3 linked regions of the Sus scrofa genome follow. The protein of the gene in region 2 interacts with the protein of the main gene of each other region in a biochemical or structural test. Links are inferred from orthologs where the notes say so. Each region holds a gene or a part of one and is shown on either strand. Other genes may lie near its edges. The genes, in order: MAP2K4, MAP3K1 and MAPK8.

Region 1 (10,660 bases), on a different chromosome or scaffold from region 2:
AAACATAGTCAAACAAGGCATTCCATACACTGTATATGCAAATAATGTTGGAAAAAAAGTATAATGAGTTTAAATTTTCATTTTTCTTAACAGATATGTTTCATTGCACTTGAAAGTTGTGTATGCATTTTTTATTTTGTGAATGGAGGTATAATTGACATACATTAGTTTCAAGTGTACAACTTGATTTGCTATTTGTACATATCGTGAAATGACTGTCACACAATTAGTTAACAACTATCACCACACATAGCAAATAATTTTTTTCTTGTGGTGAGAATTTTTAAGATCTACTCTCTCAGCAACTTTCAAATATGCATTACAGTGTTAGTAACTACAGTCGCTACGTTGTACATTACTTTGTATATTTTTACAAAGTAGAATCAAGCTGCATCTTTTTAAATTGATATTTATAAAATGTTCTGCTGAGGGTAAATGGATAAAGACTGAACTAGTCCATAAGTTTTCTTTTTTCTTTTTCTTTTTTTTTTTTTGGTCTTTTTTTAGGGCCACACTCACAGCATATGGAAGTTCCCAGGCTACGGGTCGAATCGGAGCTACAGCTGCTGGCCTACACCACAGCCAGAGCAACTCGGGATCTGAGCCGCATCTGCGACCTACAGGACAGCTCATGGCAACACCAGATCCTTAACCCACTGGGCGAAACCAGGGATCGAACCTGCATTCTTATGGATACTAGTCAGATTCTGCTGAGACATGACAGGAACTCCAAGTTTTCTTTTATACATCTATATTTGAGACTGAAAATGAAAAAAAAAAAGAAAGAAAGAAAGAAAAACTGCCTAGATCAGCACATGAAGAGAATCTGAGGCACTTACAACATATAACTATTTCCTGTAACTAGTACTTTACCAATTCCTCCGTGTTTTTCAGAATCAATTATAGATTCTTACTATTCTAATCACTTTTAAAAAACTGACCTTTCTGAGACACCCAATAAAATTTAATGAAAAGTTTTCTTCTTCCCTACTTTAGTCTATAATAAATTTAACTTATGTTTATGAGGTATCTTTTCCTTTTTACAACCGCAAATGTGGCATATAGAAGTTCCCAGGCCAGGGGTCAAATTGCAGCTGCAGCCAAGGCCCACACCACAGCCACAGCAACACTGGATCTATGCCACACTTGTAACGTGCACCTGTGACGTGCACTGCAGGTTGCAGCAAGGCAGGATCCTTAACCCAGTCAGCAAGGCCAGGGATCAAACCTGCATCCTCACAGACACAAGCTGGGTCCGTAAGCCACTGAGCCACAATACGAACTCCTATGAGTTTTTTCTTTTTTAATCTACTACATTTTAAGGGGCCAGTAACTAAAGCATTTAAATAACCATATCTAATAGCAATCTTTATATGGAGGTATTTTATAATTTTCAAGGCACTTTCATGTTCCTTAATCTAATAATGTGATTCTCAACAACAGCCCTGGAAGGTAAGTATAATCCCTATTTTAACAGATGAGTTCAGAAAAGGTAAGTAATTTCCCCAAGGTCATAGAGTTTGTACATGGCAGAGAAGTTACCTGAACCCAAGTAGAATACAGACTCATCAAGAATATTCTGAACAGAAATGCTCAATAATGAAAAATGGAAATAAATAGGTTAAAGAAAAGGGTAGGACCCAATAATAATGCAGCTAAAGAAACTGTGACAGGTCATGAGGTGTTAGCTACTCATCTGCTACTAACACAATTAACTAGAGCCTTACAAACAAGAATACTGTTGCTATTAAGAGTGACTACAGACGGGGGAGGTCCCATCCTGACTCAGTGGTTAAAGAATCCAACTAGGAACCACGAGATTGGGGGTTCCATCCTGACCTCGCTCAATGGGTTAAGGATCTGGCATGGCCGTGAGCGGTGGTGCAGGGTGTAGATGCGGCTCGGATCTGATGTTGCCGTGGCTCTGGCATAGGCTGGCGACAACAGCTCTGATTAGACCCCTAGCCTGGGAACCTCCATATGCCGCGGGTATGGCCCTAGAAAAGACAAAACAAAAAAAAAAGAGTGACTACAGTTAACAAGTATCAATCATATCCTTACTCTCAGTCAGGCCCACACTTTCTATACATCCTTAAAGTTCCCTTCAGGTAAGCATTATTCCCACTTTCCAACTGAGAAACTGAGGCTTGGAGAGGTTAAGGATCTTGTTCAAGGTCACAAAAATCTTAAGTCCTGTTTGGTGGGGGTGGGGGTTTCAAATCCAGGGCTCCAGAGCTCTGCCTTAACTCAAGCATCATGATATTAAAAAAAAAAAAAAAAAAAAAAAAAAAACAAACAAACACAGAGGCCACTCTTGGGCCATGGACCTCAAGCCATGAAAAGACGCGCAGGGTGATCCAGTGTCCAGCACAGTGTTTATGACGCAGAGCGCCCGCCCATGTCTGTTGGATGTCCCACGCTGGAGACATGCGCTCCTGGAGAGACAGTATTTGGGGGTGGCAAGTGTCAGGGTTGGGGGGGTGGCATTTACCAAACATCTTCTAAGCATCTGAAGTCTGATCTAAAGCCAAAGGTCTGGCAGATGAAGTAAGTAAGGGCGGTTAGGCTCTAGCATCACAAAACAAACTAAAAAAGATCTTCCACCGCCGCTTAAGCTCTGGCTGTGTAGCCTGTGCTAGAGAACATCCTGAGAATTCCAAGTGTTTCTCTTCATTCCGAGCAATCGAGAGAGGTCCAAGAAGATAGAACTAACAGGTTCCTGCGTCAGTCAAGGCTACACACAGTACTGACAAAAGAAAATTCATCAATAATTCAAAGAGAAGTCTCATGCCCTCCCTCTCCTCTTTAAAATGGGTTCTGCTTATTAGAAAGTTCAGCTGACTGGGTCTCCACACCCAGGGCTGGGGGAAGAGAATGGAGAGCATCAGAATAATTCCTGACCACAACGACTGTGAGTTCCCAGAACACTCCAAGCTCTTTCCCACTTTGGAAGCTTCACACACACTGCTCGCTCTGCCTGGAACTCCCTTCTTTATTGCGAGAGTCATCTCTCCAGACAGGTCCTCTGTGACCATCTTATTAGACTGCTCCCTCTCCTATTATTTCCTATCACAAAACCCAGCCTGTCACCTTTGTAACACTTTTCTCAATGAGTAACATTTCTTATTATCTACGTATTGTCTTCCCTCCCCCATCCTATCGGGGAAGTAAGCTCCGTCAGCAAGGAGACCATTCAACTCACTTTTCTGTATACCTGGCACTAGCATACTTTGCCTGGCATTAGAGCAGATGCTCAATACATAGTACATGATTTGGGAACAAAAATTAATTTGTGCAGCTTCTTCAAACTATCAGCCTCCCTTACCCTCCTCAAAAAAAAAAAAAAAAAAAAAAAGAGCAAAACAAACCAAAAAACAAAACCCTTGCATTCTCATAAGCTTTCTAAGTCACCCGTTGTGGCTATACAATACCATCCTAACCTGTCATTTTGCTGTTTCATTTCACCACTGCCACCAACTAGACTGCAAAGCTGGAACACCAGGAAACCCATCCTGCACTTCATCTGTATATGGTGCAAGACGCTGACATCCAGTAACTAATTCAATCCGAATTAATCATCAGAGGGCCTGCACAGAAAGTGTCCTCGCGGCTGACATCACCCTGTCTATATATCTACCACCATTCCTTATGTATATTAAATTATCTCATGGGGAGGGCGACAGGGACATAAAAATGAATAAAATCCTGCCTCTGCTTCCTGAATCACACTCTCTCCTAAACACCAAATACTCAATAAACGTCAAACCTAACTAGACACACGGTTAAAAGACCTCGCAGCCCTTTCAGCAATTTTTAATCAAAGAGTCACCATGGTCACGCCGACCACGAAGGGTGCTCCGACGGAGTCTGCTAATAATTCGAGCAGTCTGCGAAAACTGACCAAGAGATTTCTGAGATTCCCTGATTCAAAAATAACATTCCTCGTCTAAATTCCCCAGTAAACTCAAGGAAACGCTCGCAAACGGGTTGGGGCCTGGCATTTTCACAACACCCCCTTGTCAAGGGCCGTGCAGAGCTAATGGGCATTCCCGGGGGAAAAGTCCTTAATGAGGACGCTGCTTCCGATGTCCAGCCACCGCACAGAGCCCCTCTGACCCCGGCCTTTCCACTTCCCAGAGCTCTCCCTGTAAACCGAATTCCCCCTTTTCTCACTTGTTTATTTATTTTGTCTGCATGCAACGCCAGCACAGAAATCCCTGGCCCGGAACAAATCGCCTCTCGCAGGCCACCGGCTGTCTAATTACCTTACAGGTGGCACAGGCCCGGGCAACCCCCGGCCCTGCCGGCGCGCAGAAGCCCCGCAGAAGTTTGGGCACCGAGGGTCCACCAGGACCGCGGAGCCCGGAGGGCAGCTGGGCGGCCGGGCCCGGCGGCGCCCGCAGGGAACCAAGATGGCCCTGAGCGGGCCCCGCTGCGGCGGCGGAGGCGGCGGGGCGCCGGGCCGAGGGGCGCGGGCCCCCGAAGCCGCCGACGCCGCCTACCTGCGCGGCCGGACCGCGGGCCAGGCCCGGGCGCCTCCGCCGCAGCCCGGCCGGCGCGCGCCCGGAAACGCGGGCGGGGCGCGCCAGGTAAGCGGCGGCCGCGAGCCGGGCGGCCGCGGGGGCGGGCCCGGGCCAGGTGGGCCCCGCCGCCGGCCGGGAGCCCGCGGGGCCGCGGGGCCGAGCGCGGGCGGAGGCCGCGGCCCGAGCCTGCGCCGGCCGCCGCCCGGGGCCGGGCCGAGCCCGGGGCGGGAAGCCGGGAGGGAGGGAGGCGCGCCGGCGCGGGCGGCCCCGGTGGCTTCCTCAGCCGGGTCCGGGGGCGTCCGCGGGCGCGGGGACAGGCCGCGACGACGCCGACGGCCGCGCCGGGCGGCCGGGGTCTCGGCGCCGCCGCCTTCCTTACCCTGCATGCTGCTGACGGCCGGGTGGCCGGGCGCCGGGGACCCCACGGGCCCCGGGGTGCCGCTGCTGCTGCTGCCGCCCCCGGAGCCGCCGCCGCCGCTCGGGCTCGGAGCCGCCATTGTTGGGAGTGAGGAGCCGAGCGGCGCCGCGGCGGCTGCAATGCAGCAAGCTCGGCCTCTCGCACGGCCGAGGGGCGTGGCCGACGCCGCCTGGCCCCGCCTCCGGCCCGCCCCCGCCACGCCCCAGGCCCGCCTCCGCCCGCGCCTGACGCGGAGCCGCACCAGATGCCGCGCTGCAGAGCCGCCCAGGTCGTGGGTGCCCAAGCCCACGGAGGCCGGCACAAGTCCTGGGCCAGGGCTGCGGGCCCCACGCGGGGCCTAAAGCGGTTTGCCGAGTGAGGGGTTGCGTGCATTTGGGGGATAAGAGGATACATAGCTTGCATCGTTCCTACTGAGGTCTGTCACCCCCAAAGTTTAAGATGCCCGGTGTTGGAATCTTAGAAACCAAAACCATTGTAAAACTGAAAGGGACCCCAGGGGTCGTGTGTGCTGTCAGGTCTCTGATGTGGCGCTTGGGAGGGGCGTGGGCTTTAGCTGCACATCCTCTTAGGCCGTACCTAACACCCCATCTCTCCACACTGCCCTGGGGATCCTAAGGGATGCTACTGAAAGCACTGTCAATGGACCCATCTCAAGACTACGGAATACGAATCTATGTAATAATTTGTATGCACATTAAATCTGAAAAACAGGATTTTTTTTTTTTAAGTCTTTTTAGGGCTGCACCTGTGGCTCTACCCAGGCTAGGGGTAGAATCCGAGCTTTAGCCAGCCACAGCCTCGCCAGATCCGAGCCGCATCTGCGACCTACACCACAGCTCACCACAATGCCGGATTCTTTAACCCACTGAGCAAGGCCAGGGATCAAGCTTGGGTCCTCATGGATACTAGTCAGATTGGTCTCTGCTGAGCCACAATGGGAACTCCCAAAAAACAGGATCTTAGGCACCCAAGTCCTCAGCCTCCCAAAATATATTATCTACATAAGCATCTTCCCCTAAATACACACTGAATTCTCTCCCCCACCTCCTCTATACCTTAGAAGAGCAGTCATATAAATTATATAATTTATATATGAATAAAATGACAACCTCAAAGAACAAAATCAGGTTTCTTTCAGGGCTTGGCACAGAGACTGACTTTAGGAGGGCAGCAGCTAAAAGGAAAAAAAAAAAAGTTCTCTGTGAGGTGGGGCTTTGTGGACAAACAGACATATAATTGGAGAGGTAAGATGTGAGTCTCTGGGCAGTCTTACCTACATGTAGAATGCCCATGCTGAGTCGTCTAAAACCATGGAGTGGGAGGTTCCTGCCCTTCAGAAGCATTACGAAATCTGTACCAGGACACTTCCCACCCAGACCTTATCTGTGCTGGAACTTCCTCGTAGCAGGTTGGAAATGTGACCTTCAAGAGAACCCTGCCTTCTTCCTCCAAACCCAGCCTCGACCATTATCTTGACCCTTCAGATCCTAACAGTGGCTGGAGGGAGGGCTTAGGGAATGTAAACCCAGCAGGCAGTGAAGGCAAATGGAAGGGGAGAGCAGAGAGCTCTACTTAAGTGGAGGGCCTCACTTCCCAACTGGCCAGAACCCACCTCTGAAGACCTGGCTGATGGCGTGATATCTCTAACTTCAGGTCATTATAAGCGTTGCCAAATTCCCATCTGGGAATCAATATCCCACTTTGCTCGTCGGTCCTGGGGTATCCTAAGTGTGAGGTCTTCAGAAAGGAAATATTATCAGAACCTGCAAGGAAAGTATCCCATCCAGGCTGTTGAGCTCAGAGTACAAGCTAAATACCCCCTCTACATCTTGGGCTTGGTGCTGAGGGGAAGAGAAACGACAAATGCCAGGGAAAAGGGATCTATGGCTCCCTAAATTCTCTTCTTTTGAGGTATAGATTGAAGGATGGCTTTTGTCCAGGGTTTATATTTCTTTCTTTTCTTTTCTTTCTTTCTTTTCTTTTCTTTTCTTTTCTTTTTTTGTCTTTTCTGGGGCCCGCACCCGCAGCATATGGAGGTTCCCAGGCTAGGGATCTAATCAGAGCTGTAGTTGCAGCCTACACCACAGCCACAGCAGCCTGGGACCCAAGCCACGTCTGCGACCCACACCACAGCTCACGGCCATGCCAGATCCTCAACCCACTGAGCGAGGCCAGGGATCAAACCCAAAACCTCATGGTTCCTAGTCGGATTCGTTAACCACTGAGCCACGAGGGGAACTCCATGAGGTTTATATTTCAGTGCCTGGAGGGTTTGCATCAAAAATCAAATGAAATTCTCGGAGTTCCCGTCGTGGCTCAGTGGTTAACAAATCCAACTAGGAACGATGAGGTTGCAGGTTTGATCCCTGGCCTAGCTCAGTGGGTTAAGGATCTGGCATGGCCGTGAGCTGTGGTGTGGGTTGCAGACATGGCTCGGATCCCGGTTGCTGTGGCTCTGGTGTAGGTCTGTGGCTACAGCTCTGATTCAACCCCTAGCCTGGGAACCTCCATATGCCGTGGGAGCGGCTCAAGAAAAGTCAAAAAGACCAAAAAAAAAAAAAAAATGAAATTCTTCTCTCAAAACATCAACACGACTTGCCAACAATTAGCAAAGATTGATGCAAAATAATAGCGACCCCACCCCCACCCCAAGCAATTGTTCTGCATTTCCATTGGCTTGGCCACTTTAGCATACTGGGAAAAGACATCCATAGCCCCACAATTTTCTGCCAAACAAACCAAATGTCATCATCAGGCTCCAGATGCAGGATTACCAGACACCAAATAGTTCTATTTGAGTAATTTTCTGACACTTTGGTCTGGGACCTGCCAGTAGGTTTTGCAACTAATTGTAGTTGTTTAAATGTCACTGTGGGTGTATGTCATTTCATTTCTGACTTCCAGTTCCTTGGTTTTAGAGTGGTAGCAAGAAATGACTCTGCAGACTTTGAGTCTGCCCACCCCCATAAGTACTAGGAGAATCTCTCCCCCATTCTTTGAGGTGGACAAATGATATCCTCACAGTCTTATGTAAAGTGCCACTAGCCCCCTTCTCCAATTATACATATTTCATTAGTAGAAACCTATCATTTAATGGAAATCCTAGAAGAAATACTAGATATTAGGCAACTACTCTAGAAAAAAAAAAACGTTTTAAACCATATAGTTTTCCAATACATTGAAGATTGTTCAAAAAGAGTTTGGTCACTTTGCTGTACAGCAAACATTGGCACAACATTGTAAATCGACTATACTTTAATAAAAAAATGATAAAAAGAAAAAAAATTATATTTTGAGTGACAAAAAAAAGTCGAATCAAATAAGAAAAACAATGACTTGATACAGTTAAATGAACTTGAAAGAGAAAAATATAGGTAACAAATAAGCCTAAAGAAAAACATTCAACCTAGGAAATTCATTCAGGAAAGCTGAATTAAAAGAGTAACATATTGTAGAATCTAAAATATGATACAAATGGACTTATTCCCAAAACAGAAACAGGAGTTCCCCAGTGGCTCCATGGGGTAAAGACCTGGCATTATCACTGCTGTGGTGTGGGATCCCTGACCCAGGCAGCTCCACAGGGCATGAACAACACACACACACACACACACACACACACACACACACACACAAACCAAAAAGAAAAACAAAACAGAAACAGACTCACAGACATAGAAAACAAACCTATGGTTACCAAAGGGGAAAAGGGTGGGGGAGGGATAAATTAAGATTTTGGGATTAGCAGATACAAACTATTATATATGAAACAATAAACAACAAGGTCCTACTGTAGAGCACAAAGAACTATATTTAATATCCTGTAATGAATCATAATAGAAAAGATGAAAAGATATATATGCATATGTACATACATATATGTATACACATACATATATCTGAGTCACTTTGCTATATACCAGAAACCAAAACATTGTAAATCAACTATACTTCAATAAAAAATTTTTAATTACAAAAAACTTTAAAATGTGACAAAAAGTATTTGAAGAAAGCAGAAATAAAGCAGGTTTTCAGACAAAAAGAGTGATATCTAACTAATTAGGTTTTTTGCTGAATAATGCCTAATGCTGAGTTTGTCATAAGACTGAGAGGGGGTTCTCTTGTGGCACTGTGGGTCGGGGATCATCTGGAGTTGTCACTGCAGTGGCTCGGGTTACTGCTGTGACACAGTTTCGTTCCCTGGTCCAGGACCATCCCCATGCTGTGGGTGCGGCCAAAAAAAAAAAAAAGGAGAGAATAGGACACAGAGGCACACAGAGAGAAGACAGTGTGAAGACACAGGTAGAAGACGAGAGAAGCTTCAGAATAAAGCAACCCTGCCAACGCCTTGATCTGGACCTCCAGCCTCCGGGACCGTGAGAACATACATTTCTATAGGTTAAGCCCCAGTCTGGGGTCTTAGTTATTGCAGCCATAACAAACCAATACCTGGTTCTCAATAACAACTTGCTTAAAAGAAGTACAGCTTTTTGGGTAATTTAATACTAGCATAATCCTTGGGGAGAGGAAGAGGCAAGAAGGCAATATATTTCAATAACCAGCAATTTCACATGTATAAGAGCTCCTTGAGAAAGTCCCTACGTAGACCTGAAGTTCTTGGCTCTGCCACGTAATGACTTTTCCTTCCCACTGGAGAGGACACGAATAACAGAGTAAGATCCTTGCGATGAGGAGCGTGCGATGAGATCAGAGTGCTTGGTCCTGAAAGAGGTGGCAGAGAAGGGTGACATCTGCATACCTCCTGCTCAGCGCACCTTTGCTTAGAAACGCAGTTGATTGTTCCTTCAGTTAAGAGTTCGGGGTGCAGTCCGCACTCCAAATACTGCAAAAGTAAGTTGCAATTGGTTTTCACCTTAGACCCTAATTTCAGCCTCTGAGAAAGTCAGAAGAGAGGTCAGGCACCTCTATTTGGCTGCAGCAATCACCAGATAACCCCTACAAGGAGGGCTCAGCAGTTGGACTGGAACAAAATCCACTTCCTAGCCATCCTCAGATCATCAATGCCTGATGCTGCCCCTGTGCAGATTTGGTTGACCACTGAACTTAATTGGAAATGAAGGGAACGTGAGAAGCTTTGATGAGTTCATGCAATCGAAAGAACCAAAGTTCAGTCTGGTTCAGATAAAGGGAAATATAACTAATTTGACATAGAGCATATAGAAATGTATAGGCAAATGTTCATCACAACATTATTCATAAGAGTAAAAAGAAAAAAAAAATTGGAAATACCTCGCTCTGAGTCACCACTGCTGCGAAAGGTAATATTGACAGTATTAGCAAATATATTCTAGAATGATAGAGTTCTCATCTGCCAGAACTACACCCAGAGCCTGTCCCCATCTCCTGTCTGCTGTTGATCTAGCCTTACTATTCTTTAAAAAACAAGATGGAACTAAAATGGAAGGGAGAAAAAAAAAAAAAAGACAGAACCGGGCACTTCTGTTGGGAAGAAAAGGGAATTCAACATGATTGGCTGGGAAGGGGCAGAGGAAATTTCTAAGGGAAAGGTCTGTTCTATGCCCTGACAGCTGTTTGGATTACAAGAGTTTATGCATTTGTCAAAATGCAGCAAATACGTGCTCCAGATTTGGGTATTTCAATGTCTGTAAATTATATATCCAAAGGAGAAACTGTAAGCAAAGATTGAACGCAGGCTAATGATACGAATGCTGAAGTATTCGAGAGAACACGTCCTGAT
Region 2 (10,028 bases):
GCAGTCTATCTATGAGACAAAGGCGGCCCAGAAGTTCTTGCCAGTTGTTTGATTCAGTTTGGTTTCCAAGAATACAATTTAAGACATAATCAACACCGCCGATGCCAATGGATCCTAAAAAAAGGAAAGTGAAAATAACTGAAAAACAGTGATATTAATATCTAAAAACAAAACATGATCAAATGGTATAAGGTCAATAAATACTCTGAATTGTATTAATTTTAAGAATTTCTCTTTTAGATTAATTCCTATTTCTAGTATTAGCTGAGTCAATTTACAAAATTACTTCAAAATCATACAACTGTCCTCCTGGAGATTATGAGATTAACTGCTAAGGAAAATGATAAAACATGCTATGTTAATATTAAGTACAAAGTTATTACCAGCTTTAAGTATTTCTCTGCCAACTGCCAACTCTCCTGCTTGGCCTTTGCACAATTCCAATAGCGTTGATATAGACAGCTGACTTGTGCGACTACAAATGAAAGGAAGCATCATCAGACTTGGATAAACATATACTAAAAGGGGAGTAGTAATGTAATAATGCTTTGGGAAAAGCTGGGAAAAAATGTTTTCAGGAGTGTCTGCTTTCCAGCCACTAAAATTGCATTAATGATGTCACTATAAATGATATTATTATTAGGTCTAATTTTATAAATTTTACCTTATCCTCTATGTTTGGCATTGAATCTTCACTACTGGCTCTTAAATAGCAAGTATTAAATATCAAACCAGATAAAAGGCTTATTTTTATTATCTTATCTTAAAATAAGAAAGAAAACCTCAACATTTTGATTTCTGAATTTTCACTAAGAACTCTTGAATTAAATCCAAAACCTTTACTTTCTCTTCATACAACCATAGTCACTTTTAAATATCTTAGGTCTCTACCATATTTCTTATAATGTTCAACCATTCAAGTGACCAGGTAAACAACTAACTTTAGAATTTCAGAAAGTAGACAACGAAACAAATGCCATGAAAACATTTATGCTTTTACTTTAATAGTTCTCAGAAAAAAAAATTATTGTAACATTAAGAAGCAAAATGAGGAGTTCCCGTCATGGCGCAGTGGTTAACGAATCTAACTAGGAACCATGAGGTTGCGGGTTCGGTCCCTGCCCTTGCTCAGTGGGTTAACGATCCGGCATTGCCGTGAGCTGTGGTGTAGGTTGCAGACGCGGCTCGGATCCTGCGTTGCTGTGGCTCTGGCGTAGGCTGGCGGCCACAGCTCCGATTAGACCCCTAGCCTGGGAACCTCCATATGCCGCAGGAGCGGCCCAAGAAATAGCAAAAAGACTGAAAAAAAAAAAAAAAAAAAGAAGCAAAATGATTTCCCTATGCATTTTGCAAATTACTTGTTAAATTTTTTCAGATATTTATAGTATTCTCTGTAAGCAGTAATAAAACCTCTAATACTTACAATCTGTAGGCTTGTGTAGAGAAAACAATGGAGGCAAAAGATAGACTTCATGAGATGAGAAAAGTCAAAGAAAGTTAAGTGCTTAATTTTTGAGACCCTCTACTACTGCATCATGTGGCTTAAGAAAGAAGACAAAGTTGGACTGAGAGAGCTCCAAGAGTGAAATGTCAGAGGCAAAACAAGGGAGAGTCAGTGCTTCTTACCACCTGAGATCTGCTGGGACATGAAGAGATGAGAACAGCTACAAGTGTTTACTGTAGCTATGCCTTATTATATGAAAAGTATGAAAAGTGGCCTTTTCCTGCCACTTTATGGAAAGGTGTCAGGGGGTGAGGGCAGAGAGAACCAGTGGTTTAATAAAAGCATAGTTTGTGCTCATTTTCTCTATCACCATACCTCATTTCTTTACCTCAAATCTTTATACCTCCAATTCTCCAATTAGGGCTATTCCTGTTTCTTGCTGATCTCTAAGGATAGGGTGAGGATATTTGGAATTTCTGTTGCTGTTGTTATTTGACATAAACTATAATTAGAATAAAGTTCCATCACAAAATAATGGAACCGAGTTGGGGTTTGTTTTTTTTTTCAGTCCTGATAATGCAAAGCATGTATAATCATTTTATTGGTTCCTATCCCATGTAACTCTCTAAAATGAGATTACACTTTATATATATACACATACATATCAGCTATTGTTCTTATCAACTGGACTTCAGTTTAAGAATATTACTTTAAAATAAAAGAGAACTGGAGTTCCCGTTGTGGCGCAGTGGTTAATGAATCCGACTAGGAACCATGAGGTTGCGGGTTCGGTCCCTGCCCTTGTTCAGTGGGTTAACAATCCAGCGTTGCCGTGAGCTGTGGTGTAGGTTGCAGACGCGGCTCGGATCCCGCGTTGCTGTGGCTCTGGCGTAAGCCAGTGGCTACAGCTCCAATTCAACCCCTAGCCTGGGAACCTCCATATGCCGCAGGAGCGGCCCAAGAAATAGCAACAACAACAACAATAACAACAACAACAAAAGACCAAAAAAAAATAAAAAATAAAAGAGAACCAATCATAGCACAATAATGTGGAGGTCCATGCAGTGTGTTAGCATGGTTTTTCCTTGCCATTAGTTCTTCCTCCTAGTCATTAAGACCTTTAACTATTACATGTTAATTTCAAATCTAATATTAGAAAGCAATATTTAAAGCTTCATTTAATAAGTATGGATCAAATATTCACTAGGTGTGAGGCTCCATGCTATGTTTTTAAGACAAGAGGGTTTGAAGCAGCTCACTGATAAGGCCTTACCTATTGGCATCTGCACACTTGACAAGGATGGTGTCTACAACTGGCCGGAGAAGTCTCTGCAGCTTGATTCTTTCTGCCAAACTATGGCAAGGAGTATATACTAACATGGCTCTCAACGTTTTCTGGTGGGGGGAGGAAACAGAAGGTTAGTTTAACTATATTTAAAAAGCATCAGAGACAATGGCCTAATCTGAGACAACTAGAGAAACAAAATAACAACAGGAATAGATTATTACCTGTAAATAAGACTCTATGAGTTGATAACCAATACAAATAAAAAATTGAATAAGTAAATAGATAAGGTAGAAAGGAACTCTCAACTATTTCCGTTATTTTTGAAAGTCTGAATTAATTTCAAAATGCAAGTTATTTTAAAAAGAAAAGGAGCAAACTTGAAAAAGTTCCCAATGGCCAAAGCTAGAGTAATGTGAACTACAAAATACGTCATAATACTGAATTATAACTCATAGAATAAAATAAGTACTTATGAGTCTATGGTGATGGAAATAAAAAACTGAATAAATATATGAATGGGGGAGAAGAGACAGCTGTTCTTTATGGAAGAATTCCAATTAATTAATACTGAAGGAACACAGGAAATAGATCACCATTAGAACACCATAGTAATCATTGCTGTGGGCATGATCCACTGACAAATGCTAATAAAATCTGTGAATAGAAACAGGATATCTGTACAGTCTTAAAGTAACTCGCCCACGACATCACCTTAATCAAGTGATGAAGGATGGCATCACCAATAATTAGACTGACACGATGTACCCCTGATAACAATTCACTGAGAAGGTCACATCACCTCTGGTGTTCTTACCAAAAAAAAAAAAAAAAAAAGTTGCATATATAATCTAATAATGAGAAAATATCAGATAAACCCAAATTGAGGGAAACTGTTCAGAATAACTGGCCAGTATACTTCAAAGATATGTCAAAGTCTACAAAAGAAAAAGATTGAGGGACTGTCACAGAAGGGAAGAGATTGAGGGGGCATGACAACTAAACGCAAGGTAAGACCCTGGACTGGATCCCAAAAGAGAAAAAAGACACTAATGGAAAAACTGATGAAATTGATTAAGGTCTGCAGGTTAATTGTAAAGGACACAGTTGGGACAATTGGGGACATGTGAATATGGACTTAACATTTAATATGTACATAACAGTAATGTTTTTAATGCCGAGTTTCCTGAGTATGCTGACTGCACCGTGGTTATACATAAGAATGTATTTGTTCTTAAGAGACAAAAGCTAAAGTATTCAAAGGGAAACGTCATGATGCCTGAACATAATTTTCAAATGGTTCAGGAAAAAATTATATATGGTGAGGGAGAAGGAGGAAGACAAAGAAGGCAAGAGGGAGGGGAGAAAGGGAAGGGAGAGCTCTAAGGACCGGAACCATTTCTGCCTCCACCATGCCTATCACACTAAATAAGTGTAGAGGAATCAGAATACAGCATCATTCACAGAGTCCCTGTACTCCATGAGCTCACACACTCATTGGGAATAATAACAATAATAATAAACCAAATAGTAAGACAGTATACTGAGCAGTCAAGGTTTGCATTCAAAAACAGTTAAGATGAAAGAGGTAAAAGGCTGAGCCAAGAACCCTGGTCTTTATTGTAAAGTGTGCTGGTATGCTGGTCCCTTAAGACGCTACATGAAAAACAGATCATGGTAAGATCAATTTGGGAAATAATTAATCTTACCCCATGATTAGATTCCCAATGTATGTGAAATCACTGGAAGTTCCTAGAAAGCTTTCAGTGAACAGACCCATTTAACCTCATGTAATTCAGTGCTCATCAATTTTAACTGAACATAGAAGTCCTTCAGGGACTTTATATAATTCAGTCAAATCTTCACAGAATATGTTTTAGGAAATGTTGCTAAAGAAAAAGAAACCTCTAAAGGTTTCTGGGCTGGAGAATAAAGTGGCATTTAAGGAATAATGACAGCTACCATAGTCAGTGTTCTTACAGTGTACTAGATGTTATGGTTAAAGGTTTCTACTCAGTCTCATCTCAGACCTAAAGGATAAATACTTCCATTATTTTATAGGAGAGAAAGCTAAAGTTTAAGAGTCCTAAAAGTTATACTTCTAGCAAACTGGAGAACCGGAATTTGAATCAAGGTGTCTATGATCTTGACCATACATCCCAATTGCCTAGACCAGTCCCAGTTTAATTAGCATATTATTCAAATATCCCAGCTGGGATGATAAATTATGAAGTCACTCAATTCTGACTCCAAACTAATGTTCACAACCACATTAAACTATCTCTCATAGTTATTATAGGATGGATTAGAAAAAGATTACGAGTGGAAGCAAAGAGATGAGTGAGTTTTAAAAACAGACTAGATAAGAATTATTCTAAAGCAGCTGTTCTGAACTGGGGGGCAGTTTTGACCCTCAAGGTACAGTCAGCAATGCCTGGAAACAATGCTGGCTGTCATGACTAAGGGGAGGGGATATCTAGTGGGTAGAGACTGGGAATGCTGCTAAACATCCTACAATGCATGAGACAGTACTGCTTACAAGAAATAATTATCTTTCTCAATGTCAGTAAGTACAGAGGCTGAGAAACCCTCTTCTAAAGATATATATATATATATGTATGTATATATATACACACACTCATAATGAAGAAAATCAAATTAGCCTCCAAAATTACAAACAACAGCTGCCTTGTCATTCCATCCTACTCATGAAAGATAACTTCTAACAGATTAAAACAGAAAAACTCAGTAATCTATGTCATGGAATCCTCTCTTCTGTGAAAAGGCTTCTGAATTTCCATACACCAATGTTTATTGAAAATCAGTTGTTCTTCATGTCTATTAATATCAAATTAAAAAAAAAATCAAAGTAACTTTGATTACCTTGCTATCCCATAAAATATTTTTGATTTGGTCATGTATTAGGTAAGGCAAATGTAAAGATATGAACAGCTACTTTAGGGGAGAAAAGTAAATAGTATAAAGAAAAGTGACATCCAAATGAACAGATTAATTAGAAAACTGAATTTTCCGGGACTATGGATAAAAACTAAATTTGAATTTTCCAGAATTCAATCAGGTAAAGTAGTTTTGCTGAATCTTAAAAATGATAAATGCAAACTGTCACACACAAAACCCCCCTAAACAAACCCATAATGCTATGGTTATAGAATAAAGCTACTTACTAAAGCAGCAACGTACACTTTGTAGACAGGGTCAGCACAGACCATTGACAAAATGTTGCAGCACGCCTCCACCACATCTCCTGAGATACTGGTCTGGGAAGACCCACTAGTGGCTCCAGCACTCGGACTGCTTCCACCGTTGCTCCCAGAATGTCCAGTGCTCTCCCCATTTGCCAATAGCAGAGCCCCACTAACATCGTGGGAAAGACGCCTGAGAGCCATCTCTCTTACATTCCAGTTTCTAGAAAATAAGCAGCCAACGAGTTCCATTCCAAATACCTATAATCAAACAAACAAAATGGTCAATGTGAAGAAAAAGCAATGAACCTAGAGTGTTTTGCATTAAGCATGATTTGTGATTACTAAAAGAAAATTGGTCATTTCTTAAATCTTCACCACACTCTACAATTTAAAAACATGTCCATAAGGAGGAATTTTATACTGAAGTTTAACTGGTAATTATCAAAAGCCCTTAACATATATTAGCTCAAGTAAAATTAAGAGTGGACACCATTAGGCAATTAGATGGATTTATATGCATTTCTGTACTCTTGCGCTTGCCACAAAACAAAATAAATCGGTGAAGAACCTTAAATCTGTATTTGTGTTAAGGTATTTTACAGAGAAAAAAACTGAAGCAAGATTAACAAAAAACAAACAAAGCCAAGACAAGAAAGGCACTGGGGCTGACGTTCAAGATACAGAGTATTTCTCCTATCAATGACAGTGCTAAGTCAAAGGTTCTTATTTGATTAATTAGAAAAAAATATGATGAGTTCCTGCTGTGGCACAGTGGGTTAAGAGTCCAACTGTAGAAGCTTGGGTTGCTGTAAGGTGCAGGTTCAATCCCTGGCCCAGCACAGTGGGTTAAAGGATTGAGTGCAGGTCACAGCTGTGGCTCGGATTTAGTCCCTGGCATGGGAACTTCCATATGCCAAAGGTGTGGACATAAATATATATATCATATATAATAAATGCAGTGGAAAATCAAAAGACTAAAGAAAAATACTGTGTTTAAATCAGCAAAGGATAATGAAATATTTATAATTAAAGTGCATGTCATTATAGCTATCATTATCATATCTGCAAAGCCAAAGAGTCCTTAAAGAAAAGAACAGGTGCATTGTCTTGACATTATGGACCAGAGCTAAAGGTACAGTTAACTAAGATAACGCATCATATGAAAACTTTCTAAATGTTAGAGATGAATAAGCAGAAATTTGGGGAAAATAAATCATGACATTTTTATGTGTTCTTTGATAATGTGATACTAAAGTGATAATAAAGGAGAATAAATCAATTAAAATATAGTGGATTTATTATATGCATATGTCTAATATGATATTCTTATTTAAAAAATTAGGAGCATATAGCCTAGTCCAACCTAGAGCTTAAGCAAAACAAACTAGGCCACTGTTTTGAAAAAATGGGCATCCAATAGCTCAATATCAACAGGACAGTTTTCTTGAGGATTCATGAAGGGGCAGGTGAGGGCCTACATTAAAAACCATTAATGAACTAGGTAAAAATAAATGAGATATATTTATTAAGTTTGCAAATTTTGCTACATTCATATTAGGTTGTTAAAATGCTGAGAAAAGAGGATTCAAAAACTGCAGGACTATAAATGGTCACAAAAAGAAAAAGGAAATAAATCCTACTGATATATAAGCTTAAATTATTGTATCTGTTTACAAGTTTAATTATTAAACAGAATTTACCAGATTATTGAAAATATTTTACCTCACTATTTATCTACTGGAGATATTGTCTGGTTTTGGATTCTACATTAAAAAAAAAAAATGGACTAATCAGACAACAACAAAAAACATCATTAGAATCCAACCAACCAACCGAAATTCTGACTTACTGAGGATGAAAAAGCATTTAAGCAGAAGAGAAAGTAAAGGAATGGAAACTGTCCTTACAAATAAAAATGACTAATACAAGGCAAATACCACATATTTTTTCTTACTCATCCATTTAACAATTTTTTAGTACCTAACATATACCATGAAAAATACAGAAAGAAGAAACTGACTTTAAATGGAAGCAAATAAGAAAATGACAGAAATTCTTGGAAGGAATGGGATTAAACACTGGGACAAGTTACTATTAAATGGATCCTCTATCCTTGGGTAAATGTTTATGTCTGTCAGTTCAGGAAGATGTTTCTAGAGATGGGAGGTAAGACTACAAAGAATTTTTGAAGTTTAACTCTGTAAGTGGCATAGTATTAACACCAAAGGTAAAATGAAAATTCTCAATGAAATGAGTCATGATGGAGATAAGCAAAAGTACTTTCTTAAATTATAAACAACTGGGGAGACAACTACATTAATTGGTCTATAAATGTTTCATGGAGAACTGAAGAATAAGAACTACTTACCTGAATCCATGGCTCAGCTAAATCTTTATAAGCAGGAGGGATCTGCTGAGTTCCATAATGAGTAAGGTTAAAATTGCTCTCCTGATTCCTTCGTTGTGATCCAGCTAAGGGATGCTGCTGTGTGGTTTGCTGCTGTGCAGCTCGCAGGGAAGAAGGGGAATCCACAGGGCTTGACAACTCATGGCTAAATGAAAAATTAACAAAGCTTGCTAAAAAAATTAACGGATTTAAATAACACTCTGAGAGCATTTTTATTAAACATACCCAAATCATTAATTCATAATTTTTACCTGTAAAAATCATGGGATCTCCACTTAGACCTACAAAGGGGGCATATTAAAGGTTCTCTATTTCTTCTACATTCTTCTGCCCCTGAAAAATTAAGGAAAAAAACACTGACAAAAATATAAATATTTAACATTAAGTATTTATGTAATAATTGTTCATAATGGTTAATCTAGAATTTATATGGAAGGAACCTCAAAAAATTCTAAACATAGCAGGTTATTCTAATGCTCGTAATTTCTGCAAATGCTATTTTTTAAGTTATATAAGATGTATTTTATGGACTCTCTTTCAAAACATTCTGCCCACTTGATAAACTGGTAATGCTATTCCAGAGCTTGCTTTGATGTTACCTTTTCTGGAACGCCTGTCCAGGCCTTCCTACACCTCCTTCCCCCAATGTGCACCTTCCAGATCACAACTCTAATTCTGTGAGTGACTTCCACTACCACACGTGTCACACTTTCTAACATTTCTTTGCTCACATAGTTCATCTCCTAAGAGATCCTGAACTACTGTTCATTGAAAACTTCACATATAGCGTAAATATACTTCTTTCCTTCTCTCGCTAGTCTCCCCAGAGGCTATGTTCAAGTCCTGAATCATAGTTAGCTCACAGAGTAACTGTGTTGAATAAGCATAGGGAAAAAAAAGCCACATACAGATTGACATGCAGTGGTGGTGCAGCTTGTTCCTGCAGCCATCTTCACACACTGTAAGACTTTCTTCATCAAGCATACCCAACAAGCAAATAGGACACATCTGTTCCTCTTCATCTTTTATACTATAAGGAAGAGGAAACAAAAGCATTATCCACAAAAGAATGTAAGAGAATTAATGCCATATTGCTAAAAACAATTTTGGTTTCTTTGGACTATGAAAAATAATTTAAAATTCTTGTATAGGTTATAAGAGAAGTATTTCTCCTGTTAATACACAGTAATTCTGAATCAGATTCACACCATTATGAATTTACAGGTTGTGGGTATGGTTTAACCTTTTCTTGCTATGACTATAATTCAATATATGAACTACAATCTTAAGAGAAATATGTGTCCCCAAAATTCTGTTATTGGACCTTTTGAATAAACAAACTGCTAATAAGGTTTAACTATGTACAAGCATACTATATGCCAACAGTTTCAAGATTTCAAGTATTGGAAGAACCACAGAGCTCATCTATTCCACATCCTTAAGTATTAAGACCCATATCAGACACTTTTGGTAGGTTTATAAACTGATCCAACTTTCCTAGAAACAAATATATCACATTTTTAATGCATATAACCTTTCAACTAGCCTTCAAGGAATATATCATAAGGGAATGGACACAAATAATAAAGATATATTTGTGTGAATGTTCACTGCAGTATTATTTGGCATATTGGAAAAAAAATCAACCAAGTGAACATCAAAAAGTGTTTTAAAAAAATGGTACAC
Region 3 (10,572 bases), on a different chromosome or scaffold from region 2:
TCTGAGATTATGCATTAAATTCCACCCTTGATCATGAGGTTCCTGAAGCTAATAAACTCTTCACTTTCACATTTTCTCATATGACAGAAAATAAAACAGGTCCAAAGGAGTTCCTGCTGTGGCAGAGTGGGTTAAGAATCCACTGCAGCTGCTCAGGTTGCTAGAGAGGTGCAGGTTCAATCCCCTGCCCAGTGCAGTTGAATTAAAGGATGCGGTGTTGCAGCTGTGGTATAGGTCGCAGATGCAGCTTTGATTCAATCCCTGGCCCAGGAACTGCCCTGGGGGTGGCCATTAAAAAAAAAAAAACAAAAAAACAAAAAAAACAAACAAAAAAAAGGCCTAAAGATGTTATGTAACCTGAACTAGCCTATACCACATAGTTAGATTTGCAGCAGCCACTGTTAAGTCTGGGTACCTTAACTTTCCAAAGAGCTGGCATATTTTAGCCAAACCTGATGCACTACCAAAGGGTAATGGGAGATGGAGACATATATTTGTGATATAACCTGCCACCCTGAAAAAGAACGGCAGTATTCTAAAACTCCTTATATATAATTTTAAAAATTGGATTTCAATGAAATTTGGCCTGCCCAGAGGTTTAGGGTAGGCTTTTGTTCATTTGGAGGGAATCCCTCTCACAATCTTTAATAGAACAAAAAAGCACTGTTTAGGTATGCATTAAATTCCACCCTTGATCATGAGGTTCCTGAAGCTAATAAACTCTTCATTTTCATATTTTCCACGAAGTCTGAAAGCACAGTCTTGTTAGTAAGCATGGTGCTGTGGAATGAATAAAAATCTACTAACCAAAGAACTCCTTCCTTATAATGAAGCTTTTTATTTGACTTATAAGTATAGTCATCACAAAAAAAAAAAAAATTTAGGGCCTCACCCACGGCATATGGAGGTTCCCAGGTTAGGGGTCCAATCAGAGCTGCAGCCACCGGCCTACACCTCAGCTCACGGCAACGGCGGATCCTTAACCCACTGAGCAAGGCCAAGGACTGAACCTGCGTCCTCATGGATACTGGTCAGGTTCGTTAACCACTGAGCCACTATGGGAACTCCATCACAGAAAATATCTGATGCAACAATTTTCTCTGCTTCTGTAGATTACAAAAATCTAACTTTCACCCAAGAAGGACTCCTTTTGTCCTAGTATGTTTTCTGAAGAACCATCTATCTGGGGAACAACTTTTCTATTTAAAAAGAAGAAAAATTCCAACAGTGTCAGTTTATAGTTCTAACCAAAAAGGTACGCTGCCTGCCTACACCTCTATAACTTGCTGATGACAAGGTCCAGATGACAGAACTAAAAAATGAACCTAGGTCTGATTCCTAGACAGGTCTACTTCCACCTATGACCCTGAATGATAGAACAGCTTATTTTAATACTCCTGTCACCTGTTACGTAGTAAAGTTTGTTGACTCATTTCTGAAATCAAAGTTCAAATAATCTGCCTTAAAGCAAGAAGAAAAAGCTACTAAATGTTCATGGAAAGAGCTCATGACTAAGACAATAAGCATCACAGCTCAGAGAGACAAATGATTTACATCTAAAGCTATGTGGCTTTGATGACTTCCCTGCTCTACATGAATCAGAGAGACTACCATCCATACTACTGACTTGATCAGAGACCTCTAGAGAGCTGGCATCTTAAAATCAGACATTGTTTTATATACATATGCAACAAAGCATCTCAACTATTTAAATGACACAAATATGTCTCAAAACTCAACTCAATGACAAAGCAAGACATTAAGAATCAGGCTTCTATTCAACAACCTCTTAATTGGCACTAGGATAGTTTGTGACTAGTCACTTAATAAATTACTTCAAGTAGTTTTGGTGAGCACTGAGTATAAACACAGGTTATTTCCACAATATTAGGCACTCAGCAAACAAAAATTTAAAGATTAGGAGCTCCTTGGTGGCTCAGTGGATTAAGGATCCAGCATTGCCACTGCTTGTGGCTCTGGTTACAGCTGTGGCTTGGGTTCAGTCACTGGCCGAGGAACTTCCACATGGCATGGGCACAGAAATAACTAACTAAATTAATAAATAACAAAATTTAAGTACCTAATTTCATTAATTTTGGTAAATTTGTTCTTAAACGAATTTCCCTTTCAAGTGGCCTTTCTCACAGGATTTAAAGTAATATGAAGGGGAGTTCCCGTCGTGGCGCAGTGGTTAACGAATCCGACTAGGAACCATGAGGTTGCGGGTTCGATCCCTGCCCTTGCTCAGTGGGTTAACGATCCGGCGTTGCCGTGAGCTGTGGTGTAGGTTGCAGACGCGGCTCGGATCCCGAGTTGCTGTGCCTCTGGCGTAGGCCGGTGGCTACAGCTCCGATTCGACCCCTAGCCTGGGAACCTCCATGTGCCGCGGGAGCGGCCCAAGAAATAGCAACAATAACAACAACAACAACAACAACAACAAAAAATAAATAAAGTAATATGAAGGATAAAGTTTCCCACTCTGCCAGGATACTTAGAAGGAGTCCTTTTCAAATTCATTAATGCATACACTTACTAAAACAAAATCAGTGCTATCTCTTCCTTTAAAAATAAGGTAAAGTTGAACAGGGAGTGGCTACTGATGGGTGTGGGGTTTCTTCTTGGAGGTAATGAAATGTCCTGGAATTAGAGGTGATCAATGCATAATTTTGTGAATACATTTAAAAACCATTGAAGCACACTCTAAAAGGATAAATTTATGGCATGTGAATAATATCTTGAAAAAGCTGTTATTCTTTAAAACCAACAGAGTTTAGAAAACAAAGCAAAAACACTTTGGGTTTGTCACCTAAAGCCTGACCAGAGGATTTGTATCAGTAACCCTTACTGGAATTTAACATACTTTAACTAGGTAAAGCAATAAAAGTTTAGTATCTCAAGATTTTCATCCCTATCTTAATAAAGTATCACTTTATTTCTTTATTTGCACTCTTAAGCTCACCTCAAATTCTTTCATATCCAAAATAAGTGCTAAAACATATTAAGTAGGGAGAAGAAAAGACATGTACTGTGGATAAATATTATTTTGAGTTTTAGACCCATATGCCTAATACTATTAGTCCAAAACATTTCTAACAAACTTTAATAAAATGTAATTAGATATTAAGGATTTCTAATAAAACTTTTATGCCATTTGTTTCTTTTGGTCTAACTTTTCCACTTAAAGGAGTATCGAGAAACATTTCAAGTAATATTCACAAAAGGATAAATAATCATTTTAGAGGCTTACTGAAATATCACTGAAATATACATATCACATACACAGACACACAGAGTAAAAAATATTTTAGCAAGATTTAAGTTTAGGATAGTTCAGAAGTAATAAGGAAAAAAAATTGATACTGAAGTGATTCAAAAACCCTTACTGTTGTGACAGACAATATATATACGAACTGATCATTTAGCCATCTGGATGTGACCCGTTTGCATGAGGCTTCCAAAACTTTACGAAGAACATTAAATGCTTTTTGTTAAGGCTTGAGTTTCAATATTATCAATTGTAAAGAGCTTTTCAGTGATCTGAGTTTTATTTAACACTTACTATATTCCAGGCTAGGTGTTGGAGACACAGATCCAAGACAGGCCTGTCCTGAAGGAAGTCCCATTCTGACTGCTTGGTTATGTCAGGTACAGCACTAAACATGTTCACTCACAGCATCTAACCTCCTAGGCTTAACCCACAGCAGAGGATTCTGAAGTAAACATTACACATGACTGTAAAGAAATACATGAAAGCTGTACATTTAGACCAAATATAACTCTACTTCCTAATACATTTAAGGTTACGCCTAACATTCCAGATGTACTACCAAAACAGTAAAATGACCCAGAATATAGCTATACCTTCTTTAACACACATTACTTACATAATTTCATTTAAATCTCATTTAAAGGTACATCCATTCAAAGTATCTTCTTCCATTAAAGGATATTTGTCTTTACCCTCAAACTCTCCATCTGGGTAGAGTACTGAACAGTTGTTGAATGAATGAATGAATGAATGAATGAAATAAACAGATGTTCTAATTACCAAGGGGGTACTTGCTGGATGCTTATCTTAAAACACAATGGACTGACAGACCAGAATTCTTCGGGAAAGATCACTGAATTTCAGAGGTAAAAATAGTAAGCAATTGACATTGTCTGATAACGTGCAGTCAACATGTTATTAAGTCCACAGTAAACACATGATAGGAAACTTTCAGAAATTAAAATGAAAATAAAACACTTTTGTGTTCATCACGGTACCTTGAAATAGACCCGGTTCTACGACCTAAGGATTGTGAACAGAAGTGCAAGACAAAGAGAAGGGAGGGTGGGGTGAAAAAGTCAAAAGGTCACCACCGAGTGACCCTCATGAGAAATGCGCGCTGACCACTGAAGCTCGCGCCGAGCCTGACGGGCACCTCCCGCCCAAGCCACCGGCCCGGGCTCTCCCTCGCAGCCCTGCTGAAGGCCACCTCAGTCTTTCTGCGCCGCCGCCTGCGTTCGCCCACAACATAAGCACAAAGAAACCACCGAGAAACAAAACACTGTTCCCGTGGGCTCCGGGCAGGCGTCGGGTCCCGGCCACCGGAACGCTTTCCCCGGCTCTCCACTGCCGGGGAAGGCAGCCAGGGCGCGGCGGGCCGCCTAGGCGCCTCCGTTCCGACCTTCGCCGAAGTATTTCAGAACTTGCCACCAACCTCCCGTTTCATTTATCCCTCCATACGCGGACGCCGGACCCGCGCTAGGAGAACGCCTGAGGACCGACGGGCGGAGCTGGAGAGGCAGGCGGGGGGCGAGTGGGGGGCAGGCGGGGCGCGCCAGGGTCCCGCAGCCTCACGCCCCCAGGGCGGCCCCCGCCTATCCCGCAGCTATTGTTCCCGCGCCACCCACGCGGGCCGCGCGCCCCCCGCCCGCCGCGAGCTCCCGCCCCCACTCCCGGGAGGGGGTCACGGCTGAAGAGAGGCGGCGGCGGTGGCGGCGGCGGCGGCACAATAACATAAACACCGCGGGGCCGCCGGCTCTGGCCCTCAAGCTCTCACCACACTCACCTGGCAGCGCAGCGAACGGCAACAGAAAACCTAGGCGGTGGAGACTGGCGCCGTCCCGGCGGTCGCCGCGGCCGTTACCCAGCGCTGCTCGCGGCTCCGCGCTCCGGGCAGCGTCGTCCGGCCTCGGCCGCTCAGCTGAGTAACAGAGACGCTGCCCGTCACGGCGCACGCCCGCCCACGTCATCGCGCAGGGCCCCGCCCCCGCGCTTCGCGAACGGGCCGCGGGGCGGGGCAGCCCCGGGGCCCGGATTGCGGGGGCGGGGCCCGCATCCGGGGGAGGGGCTACTCTAGGGGGCCGGGAGGACTTGCGGAGGTCGCCGGGAGGCGGAGCTGCGGGGAGAGCCTCTGAATGCGGACTGTGAGGGGCGTGGCGGGAAGCTGGATGGGGCGGGGCCCTGATCCTGGCACGTGGCGGCATATGGCCCGAGAGCCTAGTATGTGTACCTGGGCAGTACGCTATTCCTAGGCAAAGCCTCTGGGGTTCTTTGCCTCAGGGTTTGAAGGTCAGTGCGCTTAGGCCAGACCCGCCCAGGGAGCAGGCACCCCGGCCTGGTCAAGCATCTGAGTGACGGAGGGCTCTTTACCTTGACTGACAGTACGTCCCATTCTGAGGACATCTACTCCAGGCCTAACAACCCACGAGCAAATATTCTCTTCAGCCACCTGGAAAAAGCTGCCTCCTGTTTTCCCCAGATCCACTTCCTACAAGATTCCATGCATTGCCCTATTTGTCTTTGGGCCCCTCAAAGCATGTATATGTTTGTTGTAGAAGTGATAAATTGGCAAGTCCTTAAATATCTGACCAGTGGAAAGATGTCTATATTACATGCATGTTTGCAAAAGAACACATTTTAGCAATTTAAATGCCGTGTGTTCAAGGGATTCTTAACCACACAGGAGAATGTTCATCATACTTCATTAAGAGAAAGAATCAAGCCTATGTATATTATATATATAGATAGTTAGATGATGATCCTGCTTATATACTGTGTATAAAAGGAAAAAACTGGAAACATGACAACTTATTTTAACAGTAATTCATCATTGAGCTGTAAATTGATTCTCCTTGTACTTTGAGTATTTTTCCATGGTTTCCAAGTTATGTTCATAATCAGAAAAAAGTATATTATTTTAATAATGAAAAATACATATTTCGGGGTTTTTTTGGGGGGATCTTTTTTTAGGGCCACACCCATGGCATATGGAGGTTCCCAAGCTAGGGGTCTAATCAGAGCTGTAGCTGCCAGCCTACACCACAGCTCACGGCAACACCAAATCCTTAATCCCCTGAGTGAGGCCAGGAATCGAACCTGCATCCTCATGGATACTAGTTGGGTTCAATAACCACTGAGCTAGGATGGGAACTCCAGATATTTGTTGAAGAAATGAATGAAGTCATGTAGATTATTTTCCATGTTATGTTGGGCTGGCCTATTTCCAGTGATTCTGAAATGAAGCATTAATGTGCATGTTCATTTATTCATTTTCTCCCCAATTCCTCCCTCCCTCTCAGGGCTTCTTTATTTCCTTCCTTTGTTTCTTAAAGAAATACATACTACATACCCATTCTGTGCCCGGTACTGTGCTAACATTGGCAATAGGATGGAGCTTATAGACTTATATTACAATAGAAATAACAGTAAACAAATACAAAATGATCACTGCATCATAATACAAATTTATATGCATATATAGAATTATGGGACAAACTGATAGAGTTAATAAAGCCAGGAAAGTCTTCCTTGAGGACCTGCCTCTTGAACTAAGAATAGATTCAACTAGACAGAAAATATTTTAGACAGAGGTAAAAACTGAGGAAAGCCAGGTGCTGGTGGAAGAGCAAGGAAGAAGGAGCTATGAGATGAAGTTTGGAAGGGTGGAAAAGGACCAATTCTAGTACAGCCATACTACCTATGCTGAAACTCTTGTCTTTATCCTAAGTGCAATGGGAAGCTCCTGACATGCTTCAGCAAAGGGGATGGCATGGTCAGAATGGCATCTTAAAAGGATTCCTTGTTGGAAGGAGGCCAGTTAGATATAGGAGTAGTCTAGATAACGGACGGCAGAGGCTTGGTCTAGGGTGATAGTCGTGGAAACAGTAAGAGTAAGGATCTGAAGACATTTTAGGAGATCCAATACACAGAACTTGCTGATGGATTAGGTGGGCAGTGAAGGAAAGGTAGTCATCAAGGAAAATCATAGATTTCTTGCTTGTGGCCAAAGATGAATGCAATATTGATTCACTGAGATGCGAATCTTGGAAGAGGACAGGGATTGAATGGAAAGGTTGTGAGAGCAGCTAGTTTGAAGGCTTTTGATCTGCCCCAAAGAGATACCAAGTTAGCAGCTGGGTATCCAGAGCTGGAATCAGGTGAATAAGATATGAGTCACTTATGAATCACAAGATAGTGGTGACTTGAATCCTTGGGTGTGGATGAGTTAGCCTAGGCCCGAAGGATGGGGGGCAGTGAGCAAGATGAAAATAGGGCCGAGAGCCAGATTTGAGGAACTTCAGTACTGAATGGCTAAGAAAAAAAAAAATGAGCTGAGAAGGAACTGCCAGGAGGTAGAAGGAAAACTAGGAGAGAGAGATTCAAGAAGAAAGGAGTGATCAATAATATCAAATATGAGAGGAGGCTTAAAATCCTGGAGTACTTATTTTCGGAAGCAGTTTAGAGTAGGCTAAGAATGAATGGGAGACTTAATATGGAGATGTTGGATATTGATGAGTCAGTCTGTAAAGCAAGACACAAGCATGGTTTACATCTAATAGGGAGACTGTTGAGAGGGAGAAGTAGAATAGAAGAAAAAAGCATGTGTAAGTTTTCCTAGAAGAGTAAGAGTAGAGATTGTGTGACTGTATACACAGGTGGAAGTATTGGCAGGTACCTCCTACTCCCACTAGATAATATTAAGACTTGGAGCTAACAAGACAGTATAATCAGAGCAGTTGTGAAGTGAGGGGGATTGCAGAAGAGAGCTCCCAAATTTCAGGCCTAGTTCTATAACAACATTAATAGTCTTACTTTCAAAAGCCTTGCTTTCTTCCTACAGGAATAGCTTCTGATTTAGCATCAGCCTACCACTGTCAGCTTCTAATTACCTACATCTAGAAAGGACATCCTGCATGTTTACATATGTATACATGCATGTGTGTGATTTCAGAAAGCATTTTATAGGTTTTGATTGAATATCATCGTCTCTGATATTCTGTAAATTTATTTTTTTATTTATTTTGTCTTTTTGCCTTTTCTAGGGCCGCTCCCGCGGCATATGGAGGTTCCTAGGTTAGGGGTCGAATTGGAGCTGTAGCCACTGGCCTATGCCACAGCCACAGCAATGCAGGATCCGAGCCGCGTCTCTGACCTACACCACAGCTCACGGCAATGCCAGATCCTTAACCCACTGAGCAAGGCCAGGGATTGCACCCACAACCTCAGTCTTAGTCGGATTCGGTAACCACTGTGCCACAATGGGAACTCCAGATATTCTGTAAATTTAAATTCCATTTTATAACCCAGACACAGCTCTGGGCCTCCTTCTTCCTTCTCAGGGAATTTTTTGTTATTAACTTATTATTGTTCCTTGTAAGCCAATTGGAGGTTGAATCAGAAAAAGAGGCAGACCTGAGGAATTTTTTCATTATTGGGTTTTTTCCCTAATGTACTACTCCTACCTGCCACAGCTTAGATATGCTGATGCTAAATTGCCCTCTCTCCATTCATATCCAGGTATTGAAGATATTCAATAGTTATCCCCTGGAGAAAAAGACAAAGGGAACTGAGTAGGAAGGAAAGAATATGTCGTTGAAGTCCTGTAACAATAAAGAAAATCCTTGCTGTTGTTTTAAATAAATACATATTCCAGAAGAAGACTTTTTGTCATATCTATCCATAAAGATTATCTGCCTCATTTACAATCCTGTCACCTGCAATTTCTTCCAGCCCAGTGGAATTTTGCCATTTGTAACTTCTGTCCTGCAGAGAATTTGTCTAGGTCCTATCGCAAAGAGAAGATCACACCACTGGTAGGTCCATCTCCATGGCCCCTCTGTCTCCATCTCTATCTCCATCTTTTTTTTTTTTTATTTTCCCACTGTACAGCAAGGGGGTCAGGTTATCCTTAGATGTATACATTGCAGTTACAGTTTTTTCCCCCACCCTTTCTTCTGTTGTGACATGAGTATCTAGACATAGTTCTCAATGCTATTCAGCAGGATCTCCTTGTAAATCTATTCTAGGTTGTGTCAGATAAGCCCAAGCTCCCGATCCCTCCCACTCCTCCCCCCTCCCATCAGGCAGCCACAAGTCTCTTCTCCAAGTCCATGATTTTCTTTTCTGAGGAGATGTTCATTTGTGCTGGATATTAGATTCCAGTTATAAGTGATATCATATGGTATTTGTCTTTGTCTTTCTGGCTCATTTCACTCAGGATGAGATTCTCTAGTTCCATCCATGTTGCTGCAAATGGCATTATGTCATCCTTTTTTATGGCTGAGTAGTATTCCATTGTGTATATATACCACCTCTTCCGAATCCAATCATCTGTCGATGGACATTTGGATTGTTTCCATGTCCTGGCTATTGTGAATAGTGCCGCAATGAACATGCGGGTGCATGTGTCTCTTTTAAGTAGAGCTTTGTCCGGATAGATGCCTAAGAGTGGGATTGCAGGGTCATATGGAAGTTCTATGTATAGATTTCTAAGGTATCTCCAAACTGTTCTCCATAGTGGCTGTACCAGTTTACATTCCCACCAGCAGTGCAGGAGGGTTCCCTTTTCTCCACAGCCCCTCCAGCACTTGTTATTTGTGGATTTATTAATGATGGCCATTCTGACTGGTGTGAGGTGGTATCTCATGGTAGTTTTGATTTGCATTTCTCTTATAATCAGCGATGTTGAGCATTTTTTCATGTGTTTGTTGGCCATCTGTATATCTTCTTTGGAGAAATGTCTATTCAGGTCTTTTGCCCATTTTTCCATTGATTGATTGGTTTTTTTGCTGTTGAGTTGTATAAGTTGCTTATGTATTCTCGAGATTAAGCCCTTGTCAGTTGCATCATTTGAAACTGTTTTCTCCCATTCTGTAAGTTGTCTTTTTGTTTTCTTTTTGGTTTCTTTTGCTGTGCAAAAGCTTTTCAGTTTGATGAGGTCCCATGGGTTTATTTTTGCTCTAATTTCTATTGCTTTGGGAGACTGACCTGAGAAAATATTCATGAGGTTGATGTCAGAGAGTGTTTTGCCTATGTTTTCTTCTAGGAGTTTGATGGTGTCCTGTCGTATATTTAAGTCTTTCAGCCATTTGGAGTTTATTTTTGTGCATGGTGTGAGGGTGTGTTCTAGTTTCATTGCTTTGCATGCAGCTGTCCAGGTTTCCCAGCAATGCTTGCTGAATAGACTTTCTTTCTCCCATTTGATGTTCTTGCCTCCCTTGTCAAAGATTAATTGACCATAGGTGTCAGGGTTTATTTCCGGATTCTCTATTCTGTTCCATTGGTCTGTCTGTCTGTTTTGATAC

What was found.
Region 1: of the proteins of MAP3K1 (region 2) and MAP2K4, one has a biochemical effect on the other in vitro, tested with the Homo sapiens proteins (7 studies listed by BioGRID and IntAct, with this or other methods). The link is inferred for Sus scrofa from reciprocal best matches to the Homo sapiens genes MAP3K1 and MAP2K4.
Region 3: of the proteins of MAP3K1 (region 2) and MAPK8, one has a biochemical effect on the other in vitro, tested with the Homo sapiens proteins (3 studies listed by BioGRID, with this or other methods). The link is inferred for Sus scrofa from reciprocal best matches to the Homo sapiens genes MAP3K1 and MAPK8.

The regions. Positions count from the first base shown.
Region 1 is NC_010454.4:56,396,445-56,407,104, reverse strand, and holds the start of MAP2K4 (dual specificity mitogen-activated protein kinase kinase 4), read right to left. Parts: upstream 5,077-10,660; 5' UTR 5,021-5,076; coding exon 4,903-5,020; intron 1-4,902. UniProt on the Homo sapiens protein: Dual specificity protein kinase which acts as an essential component of the MAP kinase signal transduction pathway. Essential component of the stress-activated protein kinase/c-Jun N-terminal kinase (SAP/JNK) signaling pathway.
Region 2 is NC_010458.4:35,925,556-35,935,583, reverse strand, and holds part of MAP3K1 (mitogen-activated protein kinase kinase kinase 1), read right to left. Parts: intron 9,373-10,028; coding exon 9,251-9,372; intron 8,676-9,250; coding exon 8,594-8,675; intron 8,488-8,593; coding exon 8,304-8,487; intron 6,194-8,303; coding exon 5,915-6,193; intron 2,840-5,914; coding exon 2,718-2,839; intron 476-2,717; coding exon 384-475; intron 115-383; coding exon 1-114. UniProt on the Homo sapiens protein: Component of a protein kinase signal transduction cascade. Activates the ERK and JNK kinase pathways by phosphorylation of MAP2K1 and MAP2K4. May phosphorylate the MAPK8/JNK1 kinase.
Region 3 is NC_010456.5:88,983,575-88,994,146, reverse strand, and holds the start of MAPK8 (mitogen-activated protein kinase 8), read right to left. Parts: upstream 5,234-10,572; 5' UTR 5,055-5,233; intron 1-5,054. UniProt on the Homo sapiens protein: Serine/threonine-protein kinase involved in various processes such as cell proliferation, differentiation, migration, transformation and programmed cell death.